Linked DNA regions of Caenorhabditis elegans. The protein of the gene in region 1 interacts with the protein of each later gene in a pairwise test. Each region holds a gene or a part of one and is shown in the gene's direction. Other genes may lie near its edges.

Region 1 (7,915 bases):
TACTCTTCTTATCCTTCGGAGCTGAATGATCAGATCACCAGGAGGTACCCTTCTGATCCTTCGGAGCTGAAGGATCAGATCACCAGGAGGTACCCTTCTTATCCTTCGGAGCTGAATGATCAGATTACCAGGAGGTACTCTTCTTATCCTTCGGAGCTGAAGGATCAGATCACCAGGAGGTACCCTTCTTATCCTTCGGAGCTGAATGATCAGATTACCAGGAGGTACTCTTCTTATCCTTCGGAGCTGAATGATCAGATCACCAGGAGGTACCCTTCTTATCCTTTGAAGCTGAAGGATCAGATCACCAGGAGGTACCCTTCTTATCCTTCGGAGCTGAAGGATCAGATCACCAGGAGGTACCCTTCTTATCCTTCGGAGCTGAATGATCAGATTACCAGGAGGTACTCTTCTTATCCTTCGGAGCTGAATGATCAGATCACCAGGAGGTACCCTTCTTATCCTTTGAAGCTGAAGGATCAGATCACCAGGAGGTACCCTTCTTATCCTTCGGAGCTGAATGATCAGATTACCAGGAGGTACTCTTCTTATCCTTCGGAGCTGAATGATCAGATCACCAGGAGGTACCCTTCTTATCCTTCGGAGCTGAATGATCAGATCACCAGGAGGTACCCTTCTTATCCTTTGAAGCTGAAGGATCAGATCACCAGGAGGTACCCTTCTTATCCTTCGGAGCTGAATGATCAGATTACCAGGAGGTACTCTTCTTATCCTTCGGAGCTGAATGATCAGATCACCAGGAGGTACCCTTCTGATCCTTCGGAGCTGAAGGATCAGATCACCAGGAGGTACCCTTATGATCCTTTGAAGCTGAAGGATCAGATCACCAGGAGGTACCCCCTGTGATCCTTCGGAGCTTGAGGATCAGATTATAAGGAAGAATCTTACGATATTCCAAGTTAGTTGGACGTTTTACAGCATTTTCCCAAAAGATCATTGTTCATACATTCAATTGTGAGTAGTCAAGGCCGGAAATCCATGGAAAATTGCATTTAAAAACTTATTCCAGTGAAAAAAAAACAAAAATCGATCGAGAAATATATATAAAAAACTAGTTGAAAAAGTTTGTCACCGAAGATCCGGTCAGAGACAAATGGCACTTTGTCGACTGGATACCATATCACTTTGGATACTTTGTCCCCAAAAATACCTTGTCACCCTAAAAGTTTTTCATCTCGGAATGAAGGCCAAGCCCACGCGGTCTCTGAGCAGGGAGCGTCACGCCCTCACGAGTATATAAGCCGACTAGAGAATAACATCCTCAGTCGAGAAAGACCTTGCCTGCTGGCGCCGGACGAAAGTAAGGCTCTCGTCGTCTGGCACAGCAACGACTCAATAAATGCTTTAGCACACAATCAAAGTGTTTTTGCATGATGTTTAACCATAAGCTGTGGCACCGGCTTATGTCCGTTAACACAAGGCTGAAACTCCGAAACTTGCTGATGAAACTCAAGAAGTTGATCTCAATCTTCATGACAGCTCTGAATCTGATCACGAAGGGTAAGTTTTTTTTCGTTGATTTGAAGAAATCCAATATCGAGAATTTTTATATTTTTAAAATCATTAAAACTGCAAGGAGTTTCAAAATATTGCCAAAAACGTGTAAACACATTTGAGTTCATGGAAGTTCAATTTACAAATTAAATCATTTATTCTCTAGTATTTAAAATTGCTGTTTTGTTCGCTGCAAATTTTGAAAGATGAACGACGATGAAGACGATGTAAAGGCGGAAATGGATCGGAGTTTAACGGGATTGGAGAATCAGATGGACAACTGGTCGACGTTTGATAGTGAATTCTTATGTGACGATGAAGAATATGTAAAGGCAGAATTGGATCGAAGTTTAGTGATATTGGCTGATGAAATTGATGAGATGAGATCTGAGGCTGATGAGATGAAAGTGAGATTGGCTGATGATAAAATTCAAAAAGAAATGGTAAGTTAGTTTTGCGATGATTTCGGTTTTTGTGTGAAGATACATAGAGTTTTGTCTTTTGAAAAGTCATATTTTGTTTTTCCAGATCCTGAAAAGTATAGATGATTATTCAAAATCACATTTCGACGACGATATGGTCAATGATTTCAATAACCACAAAAAATTTCTTCTATCTCTTTATCAGCATCAAAATCCACTGGAGATTTAAACATGGTTAGTGAGTATTGCGATGATGCTCCACAGTTACTTGGTGTTGAAAAATAAAACTCGGTCTGAAGTTTATATCGCGTTTTTTTTAAAGCACAGATATATGTGAAACTCGCCGGAATAATCTTAATAAGATTTTGGTAGAACACATTTTGATGTGGATGGCCGAGTTTTTTCATTTTCACGGCCACGTAGATGTGAAGTAGCTATAAAGATAAAGTTTTACCTTTTGAAAAATCTTATTCTGTTTTTCCAGGTCCTGAAAACGATAGAAGATAATTGTAAATCACAATTCGACGATGATTTGGTCGAAGATTTCAATAATTTTCAAACGACTTCTTCTATGTCTTCATCAACAACAATATCTACTGAAGATTTTAATACGGTTAGTGAGTTTCGCGATGATGCTCCACAGTTACTTGGCCTAGAAGAAATGAAACTCGGTCAGAAGTTTATATCGGTTTTTTAATCACAGATCTATGTGAAACTCGCCGAAATAATCTTAATAAGATTTTGGTAGAACACATTTTAATGTGGATGGCCGAGTTTTTTCATTTTCACGGCCACATAGATGTGAAGTAGCTGTAAAGATGAAGTTTTGCCTTTTGAAAAATCATATTCTATTTTTCCAGATCGAAATCGAGTCAACATTCGAAATATGCAGAAGTGGCTCCTATACAGAAGAGCCAATTCTTGGAGAAAATGATGAATTTTTGATTGATTTTGAAATGGAACGATTTCTGAAATTCCTTAAAGACAAAACAAAACAAGTAGAAAAAAGAAAAGAACCTTTCTCCCAAAAGGAAATATATGCAGTTTTCCAACGACGCATTAAATCTGAGCTCTGCATTGAAACGGTGAAGAAAAAGTTCCAACCACTCCTTCCCAATGCAATTCAAACATGCGAGTTCGACGAGGAAACTATGATAAGAATGATCTATGGTGCAGGAATTCGAATAGACTCTGTGGATTTCTGGAACCGGTTAGTATTTAAAAGAATTATTCAGAACAGGGGTGTGCGGCAAATCTCAAAATTTGCCGTGCTCGGCAAATTCGGCAAGTTCGGCAAATTTGCCGCACACCCCTGATTCAGAACAAAGATGAGTCACCAGATTCACTTGCCAAATATTTTTCGAAATACTTTTGAAATGTTTCCAACTTTAATTGCAACATAATGCAGAAAGTGGTCTTCACTTTTTGGAAATCGACGTGCCAATAAAATTGTCAATTTTGAACTTTAATTTTGCAACACAAAACTTATGGCCAATTTGTTTTAAAAAACAATCATTAATCAAATTTATGTTGTATTATTTAAGAGTATAAATGTACTAAAGTATTTTCAGGTTCACATCGAAAGCGACAATTTCACTAGACTGCTACTCAAGATTGATCTCATACTCTTCCGACTCTCTGACCTTAAGTGGTACTCATCGTTCTGGATTCACATATCATTGGATATCCACACCCCCTGTTACTTATCATAGGGTTTGTTTGCACATTTCATATTCACTTTTTGATTTTGAAGTATTGGGTCTGTAAATACTTCTCGAAGTACTCTCTAAAATGTTTAAAAGTCTTCTGAAGTCTCTGCGGTTTCCTTCTCTCCTCTTTTGACTTCTCGCTCTCTGCCAATGTTATGATACATTGATTTAAAAGACTCCGGAGACGAGAAGCGAGATCAAAGTGATGTTCTCTCATGATATTCCGAATTTTCTCTGTAGTTTCACCACAATATGTATTCATTTCAGACTGAAAATAAGGATCCAAATATACAAGAGCCATCTCCAGTTGAATTTCTAGATGTACAATCGAGTCTGGGTTCAAGTATGAAACCACCGATACTTGATAAGCCCACCAAACTAGATGACCCAGCTGAAACCCGCCATGGTAAGTCAACAATAACTTTGCGAAAAAACTAGAAGAAATTTTTAATAGAATCATAGATATCGAAGCAAGATACTTTCTCACTAAATTTCGATTCTCATATTTCCATCTATTGGGTTTCCTTAGAATTCAGAAGGTCATTAATTCCAAAAAGTGATTGGCTTTTAGAAAGAAAAATAATAGGAAAACGATTGGGACAAATGAAACCAGGCTTTTTTAGTGCATAAAACTCGGCTCAGGCTTGGCATTTTAATTTATTTTTAGAATAAGCTCACCAAGATATAGGACAGCATTGTGAGACTAATGTATTCTAAACAGCTCTTGTTTATAAAAACGTCTAAATCTCCTTTTTCTAGCTCATCTGCAAGCGGTTTGGATTTCAGGACAAAAATTGTAGTGCCCATAGAAAAAACATTAGAAAAAGTACTCACTTTTAAGCATGTAGGCATCAGCAGCTAACAGGTGGTGCAGCGAAATTTGAGTCGTAGCTTTTTTAGATCCAAAATGGCCCTAAACTACCAAATTCGTAATGAGACGTCCTGAAAATTTCTTTTAAAAATTATTATGGCTCAAAGCTTTGGAAAAATGCATGTTTTCTGCTAAGACCCCACGTGGTGTCCGAGTGTCCCATCACGATGCGGCTCAAAAAGGTATTTTTCTAAACTTTGAGCTGTCGCAACGAAACTATGTGGGTGGTCAACCACGGGAAATATTCTCTACACACAAAGAGGGGCGGGCCTAGGTGCTTTCACTAGCCAACGACGCTAACCATAGGGGCGGAGCTCATTTGCTCAAACTAATGCTCAAGAGACCCGTTTACACAATGGGCGGGAAATAAGAACCTATGGTCCTCCTGTACTATCAGCAAGCCCGACTAATTTATAGTTTTTGAATCTATAATAAGAAATAACTGCTTTCAGACTGCTCGTATTCACTGGAGGAGTATGACTCTCAGAGTCGAATGCCGAGAACGGACGCCAAGAAATCGAACCATAAACACAAGTATTGTTATGAGATGAATTCAAATCCGAGAGGGACCGTCCTCATATTAAGTAACGAGAACTTCAAGAATATGGAGAGAAGAGTCGGAACGAAACAAGACGAAGTAAATCTAACCAAGTTGTTCCAAAAGCTTCAGTACACAGTAATTTGCAAACGGAATCTTGAAGCTGAAGTAAGGTGAAACTATTAAGCTCTATTTGAGGGTTGTGTTTTCAGAGCATGCTTGAAGCTATCAAGGAATTCGCGGAGATGGCACATACCGATTCGATCATACTCTTCCTATTAAGTCATGGTGATGGAGCTGGAAGTGTCTTTGGAATTGATGACATGCCTGTCAATGTAATGGAGGTATCCACATATTTAGCGTATCATCAAAATCTTCTTCTCAAGCCCAAATGGGTTGCCGTGTCAGCATGTCGCGGAGGTTTGTTTTTCGGTTTTCTATTTTTCGAATAACCAACTTTTTTCGGGAAAATTGAACATGGGTGTTCCCGTTGACGGACTGCCAGCTTTGGAAGACAAATGTGCTCCAATCTCGAAATTTTGGAATTTAATGATGTCACGTATAATGGTTTGTTTAAAGGAGAAATCGATTTAATATTTTTCGCATTTCAGCCGGGAACCTTCACTTCATTGAACGCCGACGTCATCATCTCGTTTTCCACCACGGACGGGTTTACGTCTTATCGAGACGAAGAAGCGGGCACATGGTATATTAAATCCATGTGTAAAGTCTTCAATAAGCATTCAAAAACTATGCACCTTCTCGATATATTAACGGAAACTGGTAGAAATGTTGTTACGAAGTATGAGAATGTTCAAGGGAACGTTGTATTAAAACAAGCCCCAGAGGTAGGCTCACCGAATCTTAAATGCTGTCTTAAATGCAGTATTTTTTAAATCTTAAATGCAGTATTTTTCAGATATTATCCAGGCTCACCAAACAATGGCACTTTTCAAGGTCGATGTAACTGCGCTCCAGCGCGTTCGTATTAAATTTTAATTTCTTTGCGTTTTCTCTGTACACTTCTTTCACTTATTTTTAAATATTTAAACTCAAAACGTAAGTTGTTTCCTATTTTCTGATTTAGCTGATTTTCACTTTTCAGATTGCAACATTGATTACAATTAATGTGGATTATTGGAAAATTAAAAAAAAACGTGTGGGACAAGATGCACTTGCTGCAGGCAAATACTGTTTTACTACTTGATCTTTTACTGCGCATCTCTTTTACTACAAGATCTCTTTTACTACGGAATCTCTTTTACTACGAATTCCACATCTAGATCTTTTACTACAATCGGCTCTTTTACTACGGAATCTCTTTTACTACCGTTTACCAACATAGCTCTTTTACTACTGTGTGACTTCAAAGAAATAAAGGTGGAGCAGTGCCAGTAGCACCAGAGAGAACAATGTTAAAATCAAACTTACGATAAAAAATATATATATAGACAGGTCAACGCGCGTACCTCTCGCCCTTTTGGTGTAGTGGTTAAGCGCACGGTCTTCAGATACAGTCATTGCTGGTTCGAATCTGGATAGGTTCAGTTTTCTTTTACATCGTCAGGTGTCCTGATATAAGCTTTCAATGTGTTTTTTGGATCACGAAATTCTCGTGAGAGCTCTTGTCAGTATAAGCGCACGTCAGCATAAGCATATTCAAAACGTCAGCATAAGCATATTCAAAACGTCAGCATAAGCATATTTCAAAGGTGTCAGCATAGGATAGTTGGCAATGAGATTTTGCAATAAAATGTGTCCAACTGAAATGTTGTTGGCGATAGTGTCAAAAACATTTGGTTTTTTTAGGTTTCAATGTTTTTTTTTCGATTTATGAAAAAAAATCCAAAGGGTACCCCTTACAAAAATTTTCTAAATTTTTTTTTGAAAACTTTTTTTGAAAACTTTTCAAAATTTGATCAGATGTTATAGAAAAATGCAATGTTTGTTGTTTATCTAGTTTAAATGTTCTGAACGCGAATTCAGACTAAAACCTGAGGTATAGTAGAACCTCAAAATTCAAAAAAAGCACTCACTTCGGATGCTGATAACTCCGTGTAATAATTTTTTATGACAAAGTGATCAACAACAAAGTTGTTTATCTTAATATAAAGTACAATTTTGCAGTTAATCGTTTTTTATCAAAAAATTGGTTGGATGAGATATGAACAGAAAAAGAAGAAGAAAATACAAGCATGAAGGTGCCGAACTTTACACAACTTTATCTCGACCAACAAGTTTTTTGATAAAAAACAATTAACTACAAAGTTGTACTTTATATTAAGATAAACAACTTTGTAGTTGATCACTTTATATATCATAAAATCATAAAAAAATTTTCCACGGAGATATCAGCATCCGAAGTGAGTACGTTTTTTGAGCTTAGGTGTTCTACTAAACCTCAGGTTTTCGTCTGCAATCGTGTGCAGAACATTCAAACTAGAAAAAACTACAAACATTGCATTTTTCTGATCAAATTTTGAAAAGTTTTCAAAAAAAATTTCGGAAAATTTTATTAGATAGAGGTAGTCAAAGATCATTTGAAGGTAGTCAAAGAGCATTTATACATCAGATCTCATCTCCATTTTTTCCGGAATTTCAGGAAATGAGAAAGTGCACGACCTTCTTAGACATCAAAAAGTAACATGTTATTGAAAATTCTGATTTTTCAGCGAAAAAAACTGAAAATTCTGAAAAATTAGATAAAGGTAGTCAATGAGCAAAGGTAGTCAATGAGCAAAAGGTAGTCAAAGAGCCGAAAGGTAGTCAAAGATCTAAGGTAGTCAATGAGCAAAAGGTAGTCAAAGAGCCGAAAGGTAGTCAAAGATCTAAGGTAGTCAAAGAGCAAAAGGTAGTCAAA
Region 2 (8,065 bases), on another chromosome or scaffold:
TAATTTCACTGATTTACGCTTGTCAGCGTGCTTTTTAATTGAACATTTGTATTTATCTTGGCTTTTTCTCTAAAATTCAAGCAAAAATACACCGAAACATTAATAATCGGTGGAAAATAACAATAAATAAAATAAATAAATTTAAAAACATGCAAGCGCGCTCCATCGAACAAATCCAATTGACGGTAATTCAAATTGGAATTAGACAAAAACTGAGATTTTTTCAATTTTCAAAAAATCATATAGAATTTAGAAAATTTTGTTTTATTTTTTTATCATGATATTCGGTCATTGTGGTACCATAGGCATGTTTTAAAGCAATTTCCCCACTGGCGCTACTCCCCCTTCAAATAGTGTATGAAACAGTTTACGCTCATTTCTCAGAATCAATATGTTAAATGATAGAAAAATGTGACAGCTATCAATAAAATAATTAATCTGTCCTAAAATTTTTCATTCTCACAAAAAAGATTTTGTACGCGCAACTCGAGTATCAAATTATGAGTCACCCTGTATGCAACGACAACTTTATTTCAACAAAAAAAATCGATAGTCGAAGATTCATTGTAGGAAAGAAAACATTGAAATACAGAGGTATTTAGCTTTTTTCGTCAGGGACCTTTGTCAGAGCTTCTGTGATCATTGTCTTCACATCCTCATTTCCATTCTCGTTCAGACATTAAAGTTTGAGCTTTAAATAGAAAAGCGCCGCACGGATGGCATACGTGAAGAAGATGCTCATTGTGAAGACTCCAGCACGTTGATCACGCATCTTTCTGAACAAGTCATCACAATCGGGAGTTTTCCCATCTAACACTTGTTCTATGATGATTGAAGTGAGCACTACAGTAGCTGAGCGATCTAGACCAAGGTCACACATTACAATCACTGGGGGCTGCTTTCCAACTGTTGGTGAGCTTTCCTGAAAGAAAATTCTTGTTTACAATAATTATTTGAAATAGTTACCAACCTTGACAGGAGCTCGAACCAACGCGAGCACTTTCTTCACATCATCAGGGTAGCTCTTCCATGGCCACGTGGTGCAATTGTAGACTTTGGCAAATGTTGCCTCACTACATCCATCTGCGACAACTTCCACTGTATATTTGTTCATCCAGTTTTTGCATAGTTGATCTACGTCTACAGCTCTAGTGTTGATCAGCCAACCTTCCAGATTCAAGTAGTGATTTGTCGACAGAGGGAAAAATGAATGATGGAGATTATTGACTTTTTGAAATCGACCAATCACGAAGCGAGAAACTCGCTCGTTCTTTCCCCACACTATGGACGCCTCGTACCTGAGGCCCCACGGAAAGGGGAGCAGAACGAAAAGGGGATCAGCAAAAAGGGGATCTGCGAAAAGGGGATCTGCGAAAAGGGGAGCAACGAAAAGGGGAACTGGCACTGTGCCAAAGGCAATCTATCCCATGCTCACATTTCCCATGCACACATTTCCCATGCTGACACTTTCCCCCGTGCGTACAAAATTCCCATGCTTACGCCCAGTAGTTGGAGTACTCCCATGCCTACAACTCATTTTTCTCCTTTTTTTTCGTTCCCATGCTGATATTCTCATACATACATTTTCTCCCGTGCATACAAAATATTCTGATGCTTACGCTCAGTAGTCGAAGTACTCCCATGCATACACCTCATTTATTCCATTTTTTCGTTCCCATGCTGACATTCCCCCACATACATTTTTTCCCGTGCATACAAAATTCCCATGCTTACATCCAGTAGTCGAACGTTCCCATGCTGACATTCCCATACAAACATTTGTTCCCATACTTACAAAAATGTATTCCCATGCCGACATGGAGCATTTTTGTGCTCCAGAAGAGAACAAAGTCAATTTTTTTACTCATTTTCATTGTATTAGGCTTACTTGACAGCTTTCAGTTACAACTGATCACTTTTTTTTTCAAAATGCATTAGTTCTCGATTATGAACAAGGAATCGAAGAAAAATGGGGATGACTGCCTATAGAGTAAAATTTTTTTTTTGCTCAAAAATTTTTTTTCTCTCTATTTTGTAGGATATCATTAATTCGGTGAATTCCACAACTTTGAATGTTCATATTGCTGTTTCCGTGCAGTTATGAGTTTCGCAGTGTCTTAGGAACATTCCATTTTTTGTTGCATTTTGTAGGAATTCGGAGCTATCTTATAATTTCTACAAATTAGTATATCCATTTCGCATTATTTCATGTATCTTAAACCTATTGCTTCAAAAATAGCACAGAACGAATGTTGATTCTGTTTCTTTCATTAAAAAATGTGCTACTGTGCATTTTTTCCCACTTCTACGACTTTAAAGGCGCGCGATTTATACAAAATGGTCCCGTCATTGGTCTCGCCAGCGCTCAACAAATCAATGGGATGCGCGTGGCGAGATTATTGCGCGAAAATTCGCGCGCCTTTAAAGTCGTAGAAGTGGGAAAAAAAAATGCACAGTAGCACATTTTTTAATGAAAGAAACAGAATCAACATTCGTTCTGTGCTATTTTTGAAGCAATAGGTTTGAGATACATGAAATAATGCAAAATGGACTTTCTAATTTGTAGAAATTATAAGATAGCTCCGAATTCCTACAAAATGCAACAAAAAATGGAATGTTCCTAAGACACTGCGAAACTCATAACTGCACGGAAACAGCAATATGAACATTCAAAGTTGTGGAATTCACCGAATTAATGATATCCTACAAAATAGAGAGAAAAAAAAATGTTAAAATATGGGAATGTCAGCATGGGAACGTTCGACTACTGGATGTAAGCATGGGAATTTTGTATGCACCGGAAAAAATGTATGTATGAGAATGTCAGCATGGGAACGGAAAAAAGGGAAAACATGAGTTGTAGGCATGGGAGTACTCGAACTACTGGGCGTAAGCATGGGAATATTTTGTATGCACGGGAGAAAATGTCAGCATGGGAAATGTGTGCATGGGAAATGTGAGCATGGGATAGATTGCCTGTGCCAAACGCACAAAACGCTTTTTTTCTCATTCAACACACGTCGGTTTTTTAAATAAGTGTTACAACGACACTCAACATTAATTTTCCTGACAGATTGGCCGATTATATTTGAATACTTTGTCAAGTTAGGTGTTATTTCCAAGACCTGATATTCATTCCAAAAATCACAAAAACCATGTGATGACACCTGCAATTCTTTTCCTTAGGCTGTTTCTCGTTCCTCACCAACGATTGAAATCTACAAGAGGCCTTCGGAAGAGACGAAGGCGGTGACCGGCGCTGCTGCTGGACGAGACACGGGGGCCGATGCGACAGATTTGCGGAGATATTACACAACATAGACAATACTACAGTAACTGAGAAATAGTATAAGATTGAGTGTAGAGTGGACAGACATTCCGCCTATTCCTTCTTCTTTTCTTCTTTTTCAATCCCATCTCGTCTTTTCTTCCATCTCGTCCAATTCATTCATTGCATCGAGTAATGTTGGTGTCGCCGACTGCCGCTGCAACGTCCATCGAACAGCAAACTATTCGAGATCTCAGGTATACAGGTCTTGACACGTTTTATATTGATTTACACGTTTACAATTTTATTCCGATTAGGAATTTTTTACATCTTTATAAAGAAACCGTAATTTTTTTTCGAAAATTAAAAAAAACTACTTGTTTTTGAAAATTTTCACTGAATACCTTCTTTGAATAGATTTTGAGTTACAGATACGTAGTAACTGTTAGAACTTTAGAATAAAATATATTCAATCTTACAATAGTTTTCAACCAAATTCACAAAGTTGGGTAAGATTGTGATCTTCCATGTAGTAATCACCGTATAAACATCTTTTTATTTTTCTGTAATATCCGTTCAACTTTCGCGTACTTTCTACTTTGAACTTTTATATTCAAATTGTTTCAAAACATATTAAATTCCAATCTCAGAAGATTTTTCATTGTCACATACAATAAATAAGTTGTCCATTCTTCCCACAAGAATTGTGAACGACCTTGTTAAAATAATTATACGATGGTGAATCCCCCGCCTTAGTTTTGGATGAGATCATAGAATATCCCGGAAAAGTTGTCTTCAAATGTTTTATACTCACAAATTGTTCCCAAACAATGTAATTTTTTTTCATAAACACTCTAAAAAATTATCAGTCAACGTTTTGTAAAATTGCCAAATTTTCGTTGAAAATGAGTACTTTTAAAGAATTTTTGAGCAATTCGCTTGTTTCAATTGCTTATAATATTTGAAGACAAATACTGGGAGCACATTTGAAATATAAAAAACGTTTAAAAAATTGAAAAAAAGTTTTTTTGATTTGCTTCCAAAATTATGATAGATGAAGACTGGGTAATTGCTACGTTTTGATTATAAAGACAAAAATTTCAAAAAAAAAGAACTTGAAAAATTTTGCTATGATATTTGGTCATTTTCGCACCATAGAAAAATTTCTAAACATTTTCCCCACGGATGCTACTCTAAATTTGATAGCTTTAGTCATGCAGTATAGACTCAGAAAGCTACTGAATTTATGAACAATTAAAAATTACATTACTCACAAAAATTGGAAAGAAAATGTTCAATATTTAGATCAATAGTTCCACAAATAGACAATTTAAACGATGGTTATGTGCTCCGCTGGCTCCGTGCAAAAGAAGGACGATTTGATGAAACTGCTGAAAGCTTAAAGAAGCATGTGACATTCCGTAATGCTTGGCATCTTGATAAAATTGAACAATGGACTCCTCCAGAAGTAAGTGATGATGAATTTAATGAATCATTATAGATCATACATCACTTTTATATAGCTTCAACGATTTTATCATTCATAAGATAAAGATCCAAAAATTACAACGTTGAAAAATAAAATTTGTCAGATATTTTATAATTCAATTTTGAAAAGAAAGGGGCAAAGTTGATCAAAATCATAGAAGCTAAGGAGAAAAATGTATGAAAACATTGAAGTTTTGATTGGAAAGCTGCTGATTGAATATAAATTTAATTTCAGTGTCTAGAAAAATATTGTGGTTATGGATTGCTGGGAGACACAGAAGGACGTCCAATCCTTATGTCACTGTTGGGAAATGTGGATGTTGAAGGACTTTTGAGATCAGTTGCTTCATTGGATTATATCAAATTCTCATTGGCTGCAATTGAAAAAGGAATGAAACTTTGTGAAGAAAAAGCAAAAGAGGTGTGTTCTTTCAATGTTTGAGAAGTGTATTGATTATAAGTTAAATTATTTTCTGGCTGAAAATGAGTCCCTTTTTTTTACGATTTTTATTTTCTCAGTATGATTTCACTACTTTTATCTAAACATTGTTGGTGTTCGATTATTTGGCAGTGCTCTAAATTTCTGAAAATTTGGAAGTTACCTGAAATTTTAGAAAAATTTGAAATAGTTAGGGTGTTTTTTTAACAATATGTTTTCATTTGGAAACAAATGCATTGACCTACAAAAACAAAATATTGCAGTCCGGCCGTCCATTCGAACAAATGACATTAGTCTTTGATTTGGAAAATATCACATCTGCTCATTTTTCATGCAAACAGTTTGCTTCATCATTTACAACTCTTGTCAGTCTTTTCCAAGATCATTACCCATTGTTTCTTCGGAAGATTCTTATTATCAGGTTAGTAATAATTACGTCTTTGTTATAAATGAATACATTTCAGAGCACCAGAAATGGCTAGAATTGCGTACGCTTCTATTACGGCAATTCTTCAAGATCCGATCACTCGCCTCGTGGAAATGCCTTCCGAGGTAAGATTTTTTATTTTTGAAAAAATTCCAACAAAAAATTTTGAAGTGTATATTTTCATTATGTTTTCTAAGATTATCTATGATTTTTGTCCAAGGACTTATTTGGTTTCCTAATACAAATATTACAACTGAATAAGACTAGATCAATTCTTCGATAAAATCGTTAGAACTTTTTTAATAAGGAAAATCAAAGATCGTATTAAACGTTGAATTGAACTTTAATCAATAAATATTTTTCAGTCTGATTGGAAATGGTCTCTTGCTCAAATCGTAAACCTCGATGCATGGCCAATGTATTGGGGAGGTAATCTCGTCGAAAACGGTGACCCAAAATGTCCGTCACGTATCAAATACGGAGGTGGCGCTGTCGATGAAAGCTATTTCGTGGATCCAAAAAAGGCGATGGCTGACTACGATCAATTGACTACAGTTTACGCAGGAGATAAACATTTAATTCAGATCAAAGTGAAACGTCCAAGCCGGATAAGGTTTGTAATGGGTTTTTGTGGTGGATCAAATATTTGCAAATTTTCAACATGTATCTTAAAAGCATATTCTTGAAAAATTGCCAAATTTAAACTTTAAACAATTAGGTTGTTTTAAAATTCAATGCTCAACATTTTTGAACGCCTTATTAAAACGTATTTAAATCAGATCATGTATTATAATTTTTTGCGGTCATCTGCCAAAATTATGACTGTAATAAATAAATAAATTTCGAGTTTTACTAGAATATTCGGTGATAAATTTTGTAATAAAATATTTTCCAGCTGGACCTATATGACTGATGAAGATGACATTGGGTTTGAAATTCATTATGATAAAACAGGATCATGTGATAAGTTAACTGAAATGGAAACTGTTTATCCATATATTCGTCTCGAATGTACAAATGTTCCAATCACAGGACATCTCGATGTGACTGATGTTGGAAACTGTTCGTTTCTTCTTTTTTTTATATTTTCAACTTTTCAAGCGTTCAGATGTTCTCGAATTCGACAACTACTATTCGTGGTTCTCTGCCAAGCAATTGCGCTACAATATTGAAATCGAAGATTTGTAAATTCTAATGTTAATCGGAGGATAACGCTGATAATAATAATGTATAATTATTTACAATTTTCAAAACTAATGATTATATTAATTTTATATAAAGATCACGCTTTGTAGCTAATAAGACTATTAAACAGATCATTATTAAAGGAAACAAAAAAAGATGAAATGTGATAAACATTTGAAATAAAAACAAAAAAAAGTAAACCCGACCAAAGAAAACAGGAAAAGAAATCGAGCTAGATGGATAAGGAATGGCAAATAAACGGACAAAATTAGGATTATATCATTTAGAAATGAATAAGAATTTCTATTTATCAACAACGAATTTGAAAACTAAAAATTGACATGTTTTGGGGAAAGAGAAACGGGATGATGGAAATTATATCGCAGTTTACGAAGAACCCGTGAGTGTAGTGTGTGCAGGTAGACGAAAAGATGGAGTTAGACTAATGTCGGCGGTTTTTCTCCTGAAAATATTAAACATCAAAAAAATGTTGTTGTTTTCTTAATGAATACCTTATGTTGCTCCCGATGGTGATGATCCTTGTGATGATCTTTATGATGTTCCCGATGATGGTCCTTACTAGTTCCTTCACCATGATCCATCCGCCTTTCTCCACGATTCCTTTCTCTGTCCTTCTCTCGATCCCTTTCCTTGTGATCTTTGGCTTCTTTCGGCTTCTCCTCCTTACTCTTATGATGGTGATGGTGATGGTGATTTTTGTGTTTATCAGAAGTTATACTTCTATATCGGTCAGCCATTTCTCCAGGTTCTCTCAGAGTGAACTTGCAAAGAAATATCCACAAATAGTTATACCATTTTCGAATATTTGTTTTTGGCTTCTTTTTTATAAGAGTTTCGAGGTTTTCAAGGAACGAGTCGCCGAGTCGGGTAAGATATTTGGCCTCGTCAGCTTGATTTTTGGCTTCCTGCGCTTCCTTCAGTTTTTTCATGTATTTATGTACCGGCATGCAAAGCTTCACACATTCTGAAAATTCATAAACGTTTTTGATTTTTTTAATGGAATAGATTTGGAGTTAATTTCAACTCAACTTACAATAGATGTTCTTAGACTTTCATAAATGAATATAGGATGATTAGAAGCCAGAGCTGTTATTATTATTTTTTTTCGAATTTCAGACATATGAAGTTTAATTTAAGAATACTATTTTTTCTAAAAATCCACATTTCTTTGCAGTCAAATTCATATCTGAATGTCTTAGAACATATACTGTAAGTTCTGAAATATTTTTTCAAAGTT
Region 3 (9,796 bases), on another chromosome or scaffold:
GATCAATAAGGTCTCCAAGGGAAATGAAGTCTGCAGCTTTTCGTATTCCACGGATCGCTTGGATTGGACTATGCTTTTCATTTTTCATATTGAGATAATTATCCTGGACGAAAAGTGGCATGATTCCATAGTCAGTGAAGAACATTTCCTGCTTTTCCATTAATGTCGTACGAGAATCCAGGAGACGACGAGCCGCCGAGAATGCATCCTGAAAATGTTGTTAAGATTTCAGAATTTGTATAACCAGGCGCAAGTTTCGTATCGAGACCAAGTACCCCATTTTTGGCGCGAAAATCGCAAAATTTCACGGCTAGGAGACCTACCACAGCCATATCCTTCTGGTTGATCTTTGCTCCAACTCCCTTTGACCTCATTTGCAGGTTGTAAATTGTTTGCCGGACGTCATGACCGGATAACTCGATAATTTCGTCCAATTCTTCTTTGCCAATTTTCATTTTTTCCTGAGAACAGATGGTCATCATCCGAGAACGAATAGTCTCGACACGTGGCTTTGGAAAACGAAGATCATAGCAATAGTTGGCCAGTGTACGAATTTTCGGATGCTGCCGGTCATTACAAATGCAAATAATTGGAATTTTAGACTCCTTGATAATTTGGATGAGCTCAGAGATCTGTAAAAATAAACATTTGAATATTAATATATTAGTTCTTCATTTAAACTCACACCAGCTCGATCCTCATTTCCAGACATTCCGTCGACTTCATCCATAATCAGGATATGATGAACCTTTTGATTATCTTGTGGAGCACACTTTTTCGCTCCGAAAAACTGCTCAATTTGATGAGAACCAGAGAGTTCGCCAATTTTCGCTTCGAGATGTTTCTTACTACGCACATCTGATGCATTCATTTCGACAAGTTGAAGGCCCAGTTGTTGACAAGCCATATAGGCGCATGTAGTCTTTCCAACTCCAGGAGAACCCGATAAAAGAGCTGCTTTGAATGATGTACCATCTTGAGATGACATCCATGGAGCTGGTTTTGCTGAAAATTGCCGATAATATTATAATAAAATAGAAATAAAATTACTTACGCTTCTTAATTTTTGCCCCTTCGCCAAGATTGTGTTTTGCCCAGTCTTTAATCCATTCCAAAAGCTTATTAATTGGGCTTTTGTCTCCATTCTGGCCAACAAGTTCTCCCATCCTTTTCGGCTTATACTTATCAACCCATGAAAGTGCTGGGGGTGGCCCACTTGGTTTCGGTTGAAAAACGACTGATGACGTGGAAACTTGACTCGACGAAGATGACTCGGAGGTTACTTTCGGTGGATCTTTTTTCACTGATAACGCCTTTTTCTGTGGAGTTTCTTTTTCTTTTTTGACAGGAATTGATTGCTTCTTTGGGAATTCTTTTTTGACAGAAGGAAGCTCTTTCTTTTTCGGGGTCTCCTTTCTCTTTTCAGGTGTCTTCTTTTTCACAGTAATAGGAGTGAACGTGTCAAAACTATCATCAGAATCTACGAACTCATCGTCCGACACTTTCTTTGTTTTAGTGTTTTCTTTGGTCGACGGGCTGATCTCCACTGGCTTCTTAGCTGGCGTTTTTGGTTTTTCAACAGTTTTCGGAGCAACTTTTGGAAGTTTTGATGCAGATGGCGCTGGTGAGTTTTTGAAGAAGTCTGCGGGATTCACTAATGTTTTTTCGACTTTTTTCTTAGGATCATCACGTTTCGAAGATGACGAAGAAGGTTTGAACATATAATCCAGCGTTTTTTGACCAACTGGTAACTCCTTTTTTCCACCCTTTCTTTTCTTTTTTTCATCAGTTCCGCGCACGAGCTCGTCTTCGTCAGAGGTTATCTAAAAGCTAATTATTGCGATATTTCATGGATATTAGAGTGCTTTCTCACATCGCTCTCTTCTTTTTCTTGCTTTCTCGATCTTTTTGGTGCAGTCTTTTTTTGAGGTGCATTTTCTTCTTCTTCGTCGTCATCGGTTAGTACTACTGGCTTTGTCTGAAACATTTCTCAATGAGGGTTCAGTTCACATGAATTTCCGAACCCTTTTTTTCGCCGGTGTCGCTGCCTTCTTTTGCTTTTCCTGGGTGAATGGCATATCATCATCGGAATCTTAAAAAAAGAAATTTCGTAATACACATTTGCACAGAATGCAATTTGTTTTTTACCCGAAGAAACCACAATCTTTCTTTTTGTACTCATTTCCTTTTTTGAGGCGATCTTCCGTAAATGTCGAGGGATTGGATTCTCTCCGTCGGCTTAAAAAATATAATTTTTGTTGGGGATTAAAAACTATAGAAAGGCTTACAAAAATCGCCAAAATCTGGGTGTATTTTCGTAATTTTCGGTTTCGAAAAAACGATCGAAAAGCAGGAACAATCTTGAGGAGCCAAAATGAAAAAGAATGAAAAAAAAAGTTTTAAAATTTAAAAAACTGAGCGGGAAAAGCAAATTCCAACAGAGCGTATTTGCATTTTTGAAATCGTGCCGAGGCCTTATTCGGCTTATTCGTAATGTCCCTTTAATTTCTACAGTATGAAAATTGCAATTTATTTTTCATAAATTTTTAAGATTCCTTGCTATTTTCCGTTCAAGAAATTCGTTACATATCTTCCCGATTTTTTGTTGATAAAAAATTAAATTCTCGTCTTATTTCAACTCAAAGATCCTATATAAAACTGATAATTCTCCTCGCACGAATCACGTTATAAATCTGAATATAAAATTCTGAATATCAAAGGGTCCTCATCTTTCCCCCAAAAAGTGCCCAATGCTTCCCCGCCCATCATTTTTTTCTTCATCGTCTGCGTTTGCAATCTCTCTTTCCGCTTGCCTCACTTTCTCCTGTCCCCCACTCTCCTCGTTACACTGTGTGCGGACGCAAATGTATTTGCGTGTACAGCTGACCGAACTTATTCCTGCAAAACCGTCGAAAACTGAAGCTTTTTCTCAAAATATTCGAATCATTATAGTCTGTTTATTTATGTTTGGAACATAAAATTGTAATAATTTATGCCGAAAGCTTCATTTTCTGTTTTTTTTTCTGTAAAACTGAATTGTTATCAATGCACAAAAACTCAGCAGCACCTTGAATAGCTTTTGTTTTTTAGTTTTGTTTTGATCGTCGTTATCTCTATTGTTATTGTAAATATAAATTATGTTTTTGCATGTTCACTCACAGCCAGCTCTTTCCAGATTGCACATCCCGCATGGAGTCGGATCAAGAAATTCAACTGGAAGAAGTACGAACAGAAAAAGGTGATAATCATTATCCATTTCTGTTCTTCATTGTCCACGTCTCTGTGCTCATTTCTTTGTGCTCTTTTCAACGCCTTTATCGACCTCATTTGGTTTGAATGGGATGGTATGGCCGGCCTACGTTTCTTTTCTTTTTTGTTTCGGATTTGAATGGTGTTTGGTTGTCTTAAATATTCTCCTTGAAACATTTTAAATTCCAGAAAAATGCTTTGTTTTTTGCTCCGGTTGATCTCAGTAGAATTGTCCAGTCATAAAAAAAGCTTCAAGTTTGTCTAAAATCTCCACTGAAATTCACTATTTTTCTTGAATTCAACTCCACTCCTCCTCTTCTTAATGTCTATTTCTGGGGCATCTTCTGAAAAAAGCCTTCCTAATCACAAAATTTCAGGTCGCAAAAACGCCTCGGCCCAAAATCCGGTCAAAATGGCCAGATTGGCCCTCGACTTCCTCTTCTTTCGGAGGTTCTGGCGTCTTCTTAAAATCCTGTTTCCATGTCATCGTCGATCGATAACCGCGTGGCTCGCCGGAGCACTGCTCATCGCAACTGCTCTCGATCAAGTAATGACGTATTTAGTTGGAATCCAGCCAAGTCTGTTCTACGTGGCACTGGGAAACAAGGATGCTGACACGTTTAAAATTCTGTGTGCACGGGGAGCCGCGATTATTCTTGGAAAAGCTTTTGTAAGATCGAAATTCGATATTTTCTCATCCTAATTAGCGTTTAATTTCAGACATTAGCAGTATTCAAATATCTTACAAATATGTTAGCGATCAAAAGTCGTCAAGTATGTAATCTCACGATGCATAGGTTATATTTCAAGAGACAAGCTTTCTTCAAGCTATCTTCTTCTGGGGATATGCTTGATAATCCGTAAGTTTTTTATATAAATTAATTTTATAAAATCAAATAATATTTTACAATTTTTCTTTTAATTGAAAAGCTGACTATGAGTTTTTAGATTTTTCGCTTAATTTGGAAAAAACCAAGTTAAGCTAGAATTTGAAATTTGTTCAACTTGTCATTGTCGCAACAGCTAAAATACAGCTTAGAATAAAAATATCATATTTTATTGCTGTTTATTTCGCGTTAATTTGTTGATATAGGCACATTATAACAATTAATAAAATTTGATGCCTTAAAATGCGCGTACCAACATGTCAACACAAGATTTAACGATCAAAAATTTATCGTGATAATTTAATTTTGAAAGGAAAAACTTTTCTCTCAATTTAAATTATTTAAATTCGATATTTTTCCAGAGATCAACGTCTAACCCAAGATATTGAAAAAGCCACTCGAATCCTTTCCAATGATCTTCTAGCTCCAATTGCTACAGCTCCATTCATAATTGGATATTACACATGGCTAACTTATGAAAGTTCCGGTTGGATTGGTCCCGCAGCGATCTACACCTATTTCTGTATCCAAACAATTATCAACAAGATGATTTTGTCTCCGATTGTTCAAAAAGTATCAGAACAGGAGAAAATGGAAGGAGATTTCCGACAAAGACATATGGAAGTTCGTTCGAATGTCGAAGCAATCGCCTTCTATCGTGCTGGTGTTCTGGAGAATATTATGACGAATCAAAAATTAAAAAATTTAATTGAAACTCAAAAATCGCTAACTGAATGGAGAATGGTTCTAAACAGTATCACGAATGTTTTCGATTATTTCGGTGGAATTCTTTCGTATCTTATCATTGGTGTTCCCGTGTTCATCACTCATCTCTATGACGACGTTTCACCTGCAGAATTGAATGGAATTGTTTCACGGGTAAGTTGTTTCTTTTCAAAAAGATATCTGAAAAAAAAGATGCAAAGCTCAAAATTTGATCATCGATGTTTCGATGCAATTCGATACTGATAAGAAGACAAAAAGCAAAAAGTATGCAGAAAAAAATGTAATAAATTCTCGTCTAAATCTGTCTAAAATTAAAAACAAAATGTTCAAAATCGAGCTAAATTTTAAAAAAATGTTTTAAAAAAATTCTATTAATTAAAAATCTTTAAAATCTCTGAAATATTCATTCAAAGGATTTAAATTTTAATTTTAATAGTTTAATTTTAAATTTCTAAAATCATGTAAAAAATGTTTTAGAAATCTAATTTTTCATCGAAAGACTTTTTTATGCCCACTTTTGAAACTTTCATCTTCCTGTCACTTTCCAAAGTTTCGATAGAATTTCCTGATTCGTCTCCTGACGCGGCGGCGAGCGAGTATTTTCTTTTCATTCTGACTCTCGAAATCTCGACACTGATTGAGTCAATTTCGCATGCTCTAGTGCATTAATAATGGATGCTAGTTATCCGTTTCACATTTCAATTCGTATCGTCTCTCTCTCCCTTTCGTCAGACTGAGATTTCTGGTTGTTCCGGATGAGGGAACGATGCCAAATGAAACCAAAGTACCTGGTCGTTGAAGTGGCCATCATTATACTCTTAAAAACAAGCTGTTGTTGCCGCCTTAGTTCAGAACGACATCTGGTCGTAGTAACTAGTGAATGAATATCGAAGAAAAAAGCATTTTGTAATGGGAAGAAGAAAATGGAAAACAGAAGAATACAATGAGTTGGCTGTTTCCGGTGTCGCTGAGTCCGAAAATACTACTTTCGACTTTTTTTGAATATTCAGTAAATCGAGGACTATAATCATAAAAAATTAGAATCTATCAGGTCACACTGGCATTTTGGTGTCTGTTCAATTCAAAGTGATTGGAAATTGTGTTGATCTTATGATTGTTCATTGAGTTGAGCAATGCAGTGAGCACTATAATCATAACAATTGAGCAGCTTACTTCGGAAGCGTCCTATCATGTTTCCTGTTTCCTTTTAGTTAATATTGAAATTGTTCCAAACTTTTGATTGCTCAATGAGTCGTGCACTATAATTAAAACAATTCAGAAACTTTGACAGGAAGCATCCTATCAACTTACAAAAAAAGAAAAGAAATGTTTAGAGTTTGAAAAACCAATGGAAATGTGATATCTAGGGCAAGTGAACTGAAATCTGTCTTACGGGATCTTGTGGAACGGGTAGTAGTGACTTGAAGATTTTAACTTTTGTCGAGATCCGATCGTCGGTCTTTCTTCAAAAAATCTAAGATCATTTCAAAGGATCCAAAATCACTAATGCATCCATTTTTGTGGTGCTCGTCTCTCTTTCTTTCAAGTGTCTTGTCACCCCGGGAAGCAGATGGTCGTTGTTCTGAGCAGCAGTTGAACTGCAGTCACAAGACAACACAATCGGCACTCCTTTTTCGTCTCTTCTTCCAATTCCTTCCGTCGTTTTGTTGCCAGAAGAAGAAAAGAAAAGAAAAATGAATTGGGTGATGGAACAGAGGGAATGTCAGCTGACTCTTTTGGAGCATTTAGATACAATGTGATGATCTCATCAATGCTCTTTTTTTTAAATGAATGATGATGATTAAACTACAAGAAGAAGAGGGGAGACAAAAGAAGAAAACAACTCCCAAATGACTTGATGATGTTTTACTTTGTTCGAATTTAAATGCCCAAAGGGATTCTATAGCAGTTTTTGAAATTCTTGGTTTCTTCCAACAAAACTTTGAAATTCGAAAGTGAAAGACAATCGGTCAAGAACAAAAATGGGATTTTCGTTAAAATATTTCACTAAAAATGACATAAAATTGCCTACTTACTATAAGTATAGAAACTTCAAATATTGTTGTTCTACTAAATATTTCTTCCAAAAGCTACCAATTTTCACGTCACACCTCCGGAAAAACATGTCTTCCGTTGTTTCTTTGAGGTTTCAAATGTGCACGTACCCCATGGCCACCTGCCCATCTCATAAACAATAAGAAATTGAGGGGAAAATTATAAGTGACTCATAAAAGAGACTAATCCATCAAAAATATATAAAGATCAAATTGAAAAGTACTCTCGACTTGTCTTAATTTGCAAGAGGCTTATTCCCTTTTTCGTCGCGTATTCTGTCGCCAATTTATTGTCCTCTAGCACACAAACTAATTAATCACTTTCCAACTATCTGAGCCCATCTGCCGCTTTCGTCCCTATTGTTGGACTGGGATCCTAAATGACAATTGAAATGGGATTGAAGAAATAATTTGAAAAATTTAAATGATCAAGGGAAGATAAATTTCCATTTTCAAAACGTATTTAATAAAAAAATTTCAAATTTCAGAATGCATTCTTCTACCTGTACCTCATCTACAGCTTCTCGACGGTGTTAAAACTCACTGGAGATTTTGGAGAACTTGCTGGAGTCACTCATCGGTATGTTTCAATTGTGAATTTCTCCCCATGGAGAACTTTTTTGTTGATATTTACTTTAGAAAAATTGTGCGCTTAAAAAAAAACAACACCGCACCTTTTTTCCGCCAAAAATTTTTTTTTTCGGAGAGAAAAATTAAAAATGATTGCAAAATCACCAATAATCACCAAAAATACGAAAATAAAGTTTTCGTAAAAAAAAGTTTTTTGGAGAAAAAACTTTGAAAAAATTGCAAAATTTCTAGGAGTGGGTTACTGTAGTTTTTAAGATTGACATCATTTTTTTCCTAGTTTTTGAACAAAAACGAAAAATTGGAAATCGAAACACTAGAAAAAATTGTGGATTAAATGTAGAGAAAAAGAGGAAATTTCATTTATCAAAAATATGTTGCATTTTTATGTGCAAAAAAAATAGTCGAACCGCCAATACTCTTCTTTTTATACGTTTGATAATTTTTTTTTCGAAATTCCAATTTTCAGTGTTATGGAACTTCACGAAGAGCTGAATCGTCTTCACTCGGATTGCCTTGAAACTGATCGTCCTCCATCTACAGTACCATCTTCAGTTGTCGTTATTGCTTCTGATGAAGATGATAAATCAGCGTCCCGACACATGCAAGAGATTCATGGAAAACAAATGTCTCTGGAACGAGATGAGCAGGAAGAGGAAGAAGCACAATATCTACTCGGAGGAAAAACTGGTCAAGAGGATGATTGGCCGGATGATGGTGTCGCGATTACTGTAGATTCGGCTACACTTTCACCGCCCAATGACCATAGTCATTTGATAGTTCAGTGTAAGTTTTTAATTTCTACTACAAAATTCATAGATTTCAAATTATAAAATCACAGCCGGGACAAAAGATTGTTTCGGTCAAAAAACCTGGAAGAAAAAGTCGATTTTGAATTTATTTTGAAACATTAATATTTATAAATCAAAACGTAAAAATCATTAAAAAACCACATTTTTCTAGATAATATATGCACAAAAAAATAAGTCTTCAAACTACGAAATTGTCTTGGTTTTTTTTTTGGTGTCAAAAACCATAAAACCAATTTTTCGCTAAATTTTCAAAAAAAAAAAAGAAAACTGTTTTTTTCTCCATAAAAAGCTTTTATTTCAGTGCTCTCGTTGCAAATAATCCAAGGTCAAACTCTTCTGATAACTGGAGACAGTGGATGTGGAAAATCGTCACTTCTTCGAATGTTTGCTGGCCTTTGGCATTGTTCGTCAGGAAAAATGGATTGTCATTGGCGTCGACTCACTTCAAATCTGTTCTTCCTGGCTCAAAAACCATATTTCCCATCTGGAAACACCACTCTGCGACAACAAATCGTATATCCAGTCAAAGCATTGCAAGTTGATAAGGATGTTGCAAGAATCACTCAAATTTTGGAATGGGTGAAGATGGAGCATCTAGTCGAACGATGTGGTGGTCTTGATACTCCAGTTGAATGGGATTGGATGAAGACACTATCTCCTGGAGAACTACAAAGATTATCACTGGCTCGAGTGTTTTATACGAAGCCACGGATAGTTTTCCTTGATGAATCCACGTCAGCAATTGGATTCGAGCTGGAAATGGCAATTTATAGGAAATTGCAAGAAGAGAAGATCACATTTGTGTCAATTGGTCATCGGTATTCGCTGAAACAATTCCATGATATGGAACTTAGAGTCAAGGTATTATTGAATTTAAAAACTAAAGAATGCATTTAATTTTAATTTTTGCAGGGTCGCAGTGGAGAATGGTCCCTTCACGACATTGACACAGCCTCGATAGCTAGTCGAACTGCCAGTTTCCTTGGTGCCGATACAGTTCTTTCCATGTAATCACGTTCCCCCTCCCATTCCTTTACTTTTCCCAATAGAATATTCCAAATTTTCCCTGCCAAGTACCCTTACATGCTTTTGGACATCCCCTTTTTACTACTTCAGGTATGATTGTTTTAAGATCCTCATGAGCTTTACCCCCATATGCCCCGAAATCTTCTTGTTTCATGGATATCCGCCTTTTAAATTTTCTTATCAAATTTTTCTTGCTCTCTGCATTTTTTGCTCTGAAAATTCGAGATTGCTGTATTTGTTCTGTGAATATCCTTTTGTTTTCTTTCCTATCCTCAACTTTAAAATATCGCTTTATGCTGCTTCATACTGGAGATTTTTCGTGTTCATCCCCCTTTTTTACTTACATCGAATTCTTTCCCTTCTTCGCTCCTTCTCCTCCTTTTTACGATTTTATATACTGGTATCTTTTTCATATTTCCGTTTAATTGCCAATTACCCACAAATTGCTGTTATT

What was found. The genes of interacting proteins can lie anywhere in the genome.
Region 2: the proteins of csp-1 (region 1) and ctg-1 interact in a two-hybrid assay, tested with the Caenorhabditis elegans proteins (one large-scale study listed by BioGRID).
Region 3: the proteins of csp-1 (region 1) and pmp-3 interact in a two-hybrid assay, tested with the Caenorhabditis elegans proteins (one large-scale study listed by BioGRID).

What each region holds. Positions count from the first base shown.
Region 1 is NC_003280.10:13,599,036-13,606,950, forward strand, and holds csp-1 (Caspase A subunit p16), read left to right. Parts: upstream 1-2,168; coding exon 2,169-2,171; intron 2,172-2,421; coding exon 2,422-2,550; intron 2,551-2,797; coding exon 2,798-3,147; intron 3,148-3,508; coding exon 3,509-3,650; intron 3,651-3,913; coding exon 3,914-4,052; intron 4,053-4,969; coding exon 4,970-5,223; intron 5,224-5,267; coding exon 5,268-5,474; intron 5,475-5,519; coding exon of another isoform or gene 5,520-5,520; coding exon 5,521-5,622; intron 5,623-5,666; coding exon 5,667-5,903; intron 5,904-5,974; coding exon 5,975-6,022; downstream 6,023-7,915. UniProt on the Caenorhabditis elegans protein: Cysteine protease which, in vitro, cleaves itself and caspase ced-3 into their mature active forms. Also cleaves, in vitro, inactive caspase csp-2 isoform b.
Region 2 is NC_003279.8:7,002,257-7,010,321, forward strand, and holds ctg-1 (Protein ctg-1), read left to right. Parts: upstream 1-3,186; 5' UTR 3,187-3,463; coding exon 3,464-3,525; intron 3,526-4,573; coding exon 4,574-4,736; intron 4,737-4,991; coding exon 4,992-5,177; intron 5,178-5,458; coding exon 5,459-5,616; intron 5,617-5,659; coding exon 5,660-5,747; intron 5,748-5,987; coding exon 5,988-6,235; intron 6,236-6,517; coding exon 6,518-6,684; intron 6,685-6,730; coding exon 6,731-6,810; 3' UTR 6,811-6,944; downstream 6,945-8,065. Other genes in the region: chd-1 (Chromodomain-helicase-DNA-binding protein 1), read right to left, coding at 7,250-7,270, 7,320-7,792. UniProt on the Caenorhabditis elegans protein: Vesicle trafficking protein. Functions in uterine cells to promote basement membrane (BM) mobility and BM gap formation during tissue remodeling.
Region 3 is NC_003283.11:14,643,564-14,653,359, forward strand, and holds the start of pmp-3 (ATP-binding cassette sub-family D member 4), read left to right. Parts: upstream 1-3,175; 5' UTR 3,176-3,189; coding exon 3,190-3,238; intron 3,239-3,626; coding exon 3,627-3,919; intron 3,920-3,969; coding exon 3,970-4,109; intron 4,110-4,498; coding exon 4,499-5,015; intron 5,016-7,404; coding exon 7,405-7,496; intron 7,497-7,973; coding exon 7,974-8,290; intron 8,291-8,617; coding exon 8,618-9,177; intron 9,178-9,228; coding exon 9,229-9,327; 3' UTR 9,328-9,796. Other genes in the region: rfc-1 (Replication factor C subunit 1), read right to left, coding at 1-208, 324-632, 686-1,005, 1,055-1,823, 1,874-1,978, 2,025-2,092, 2,149-2,182.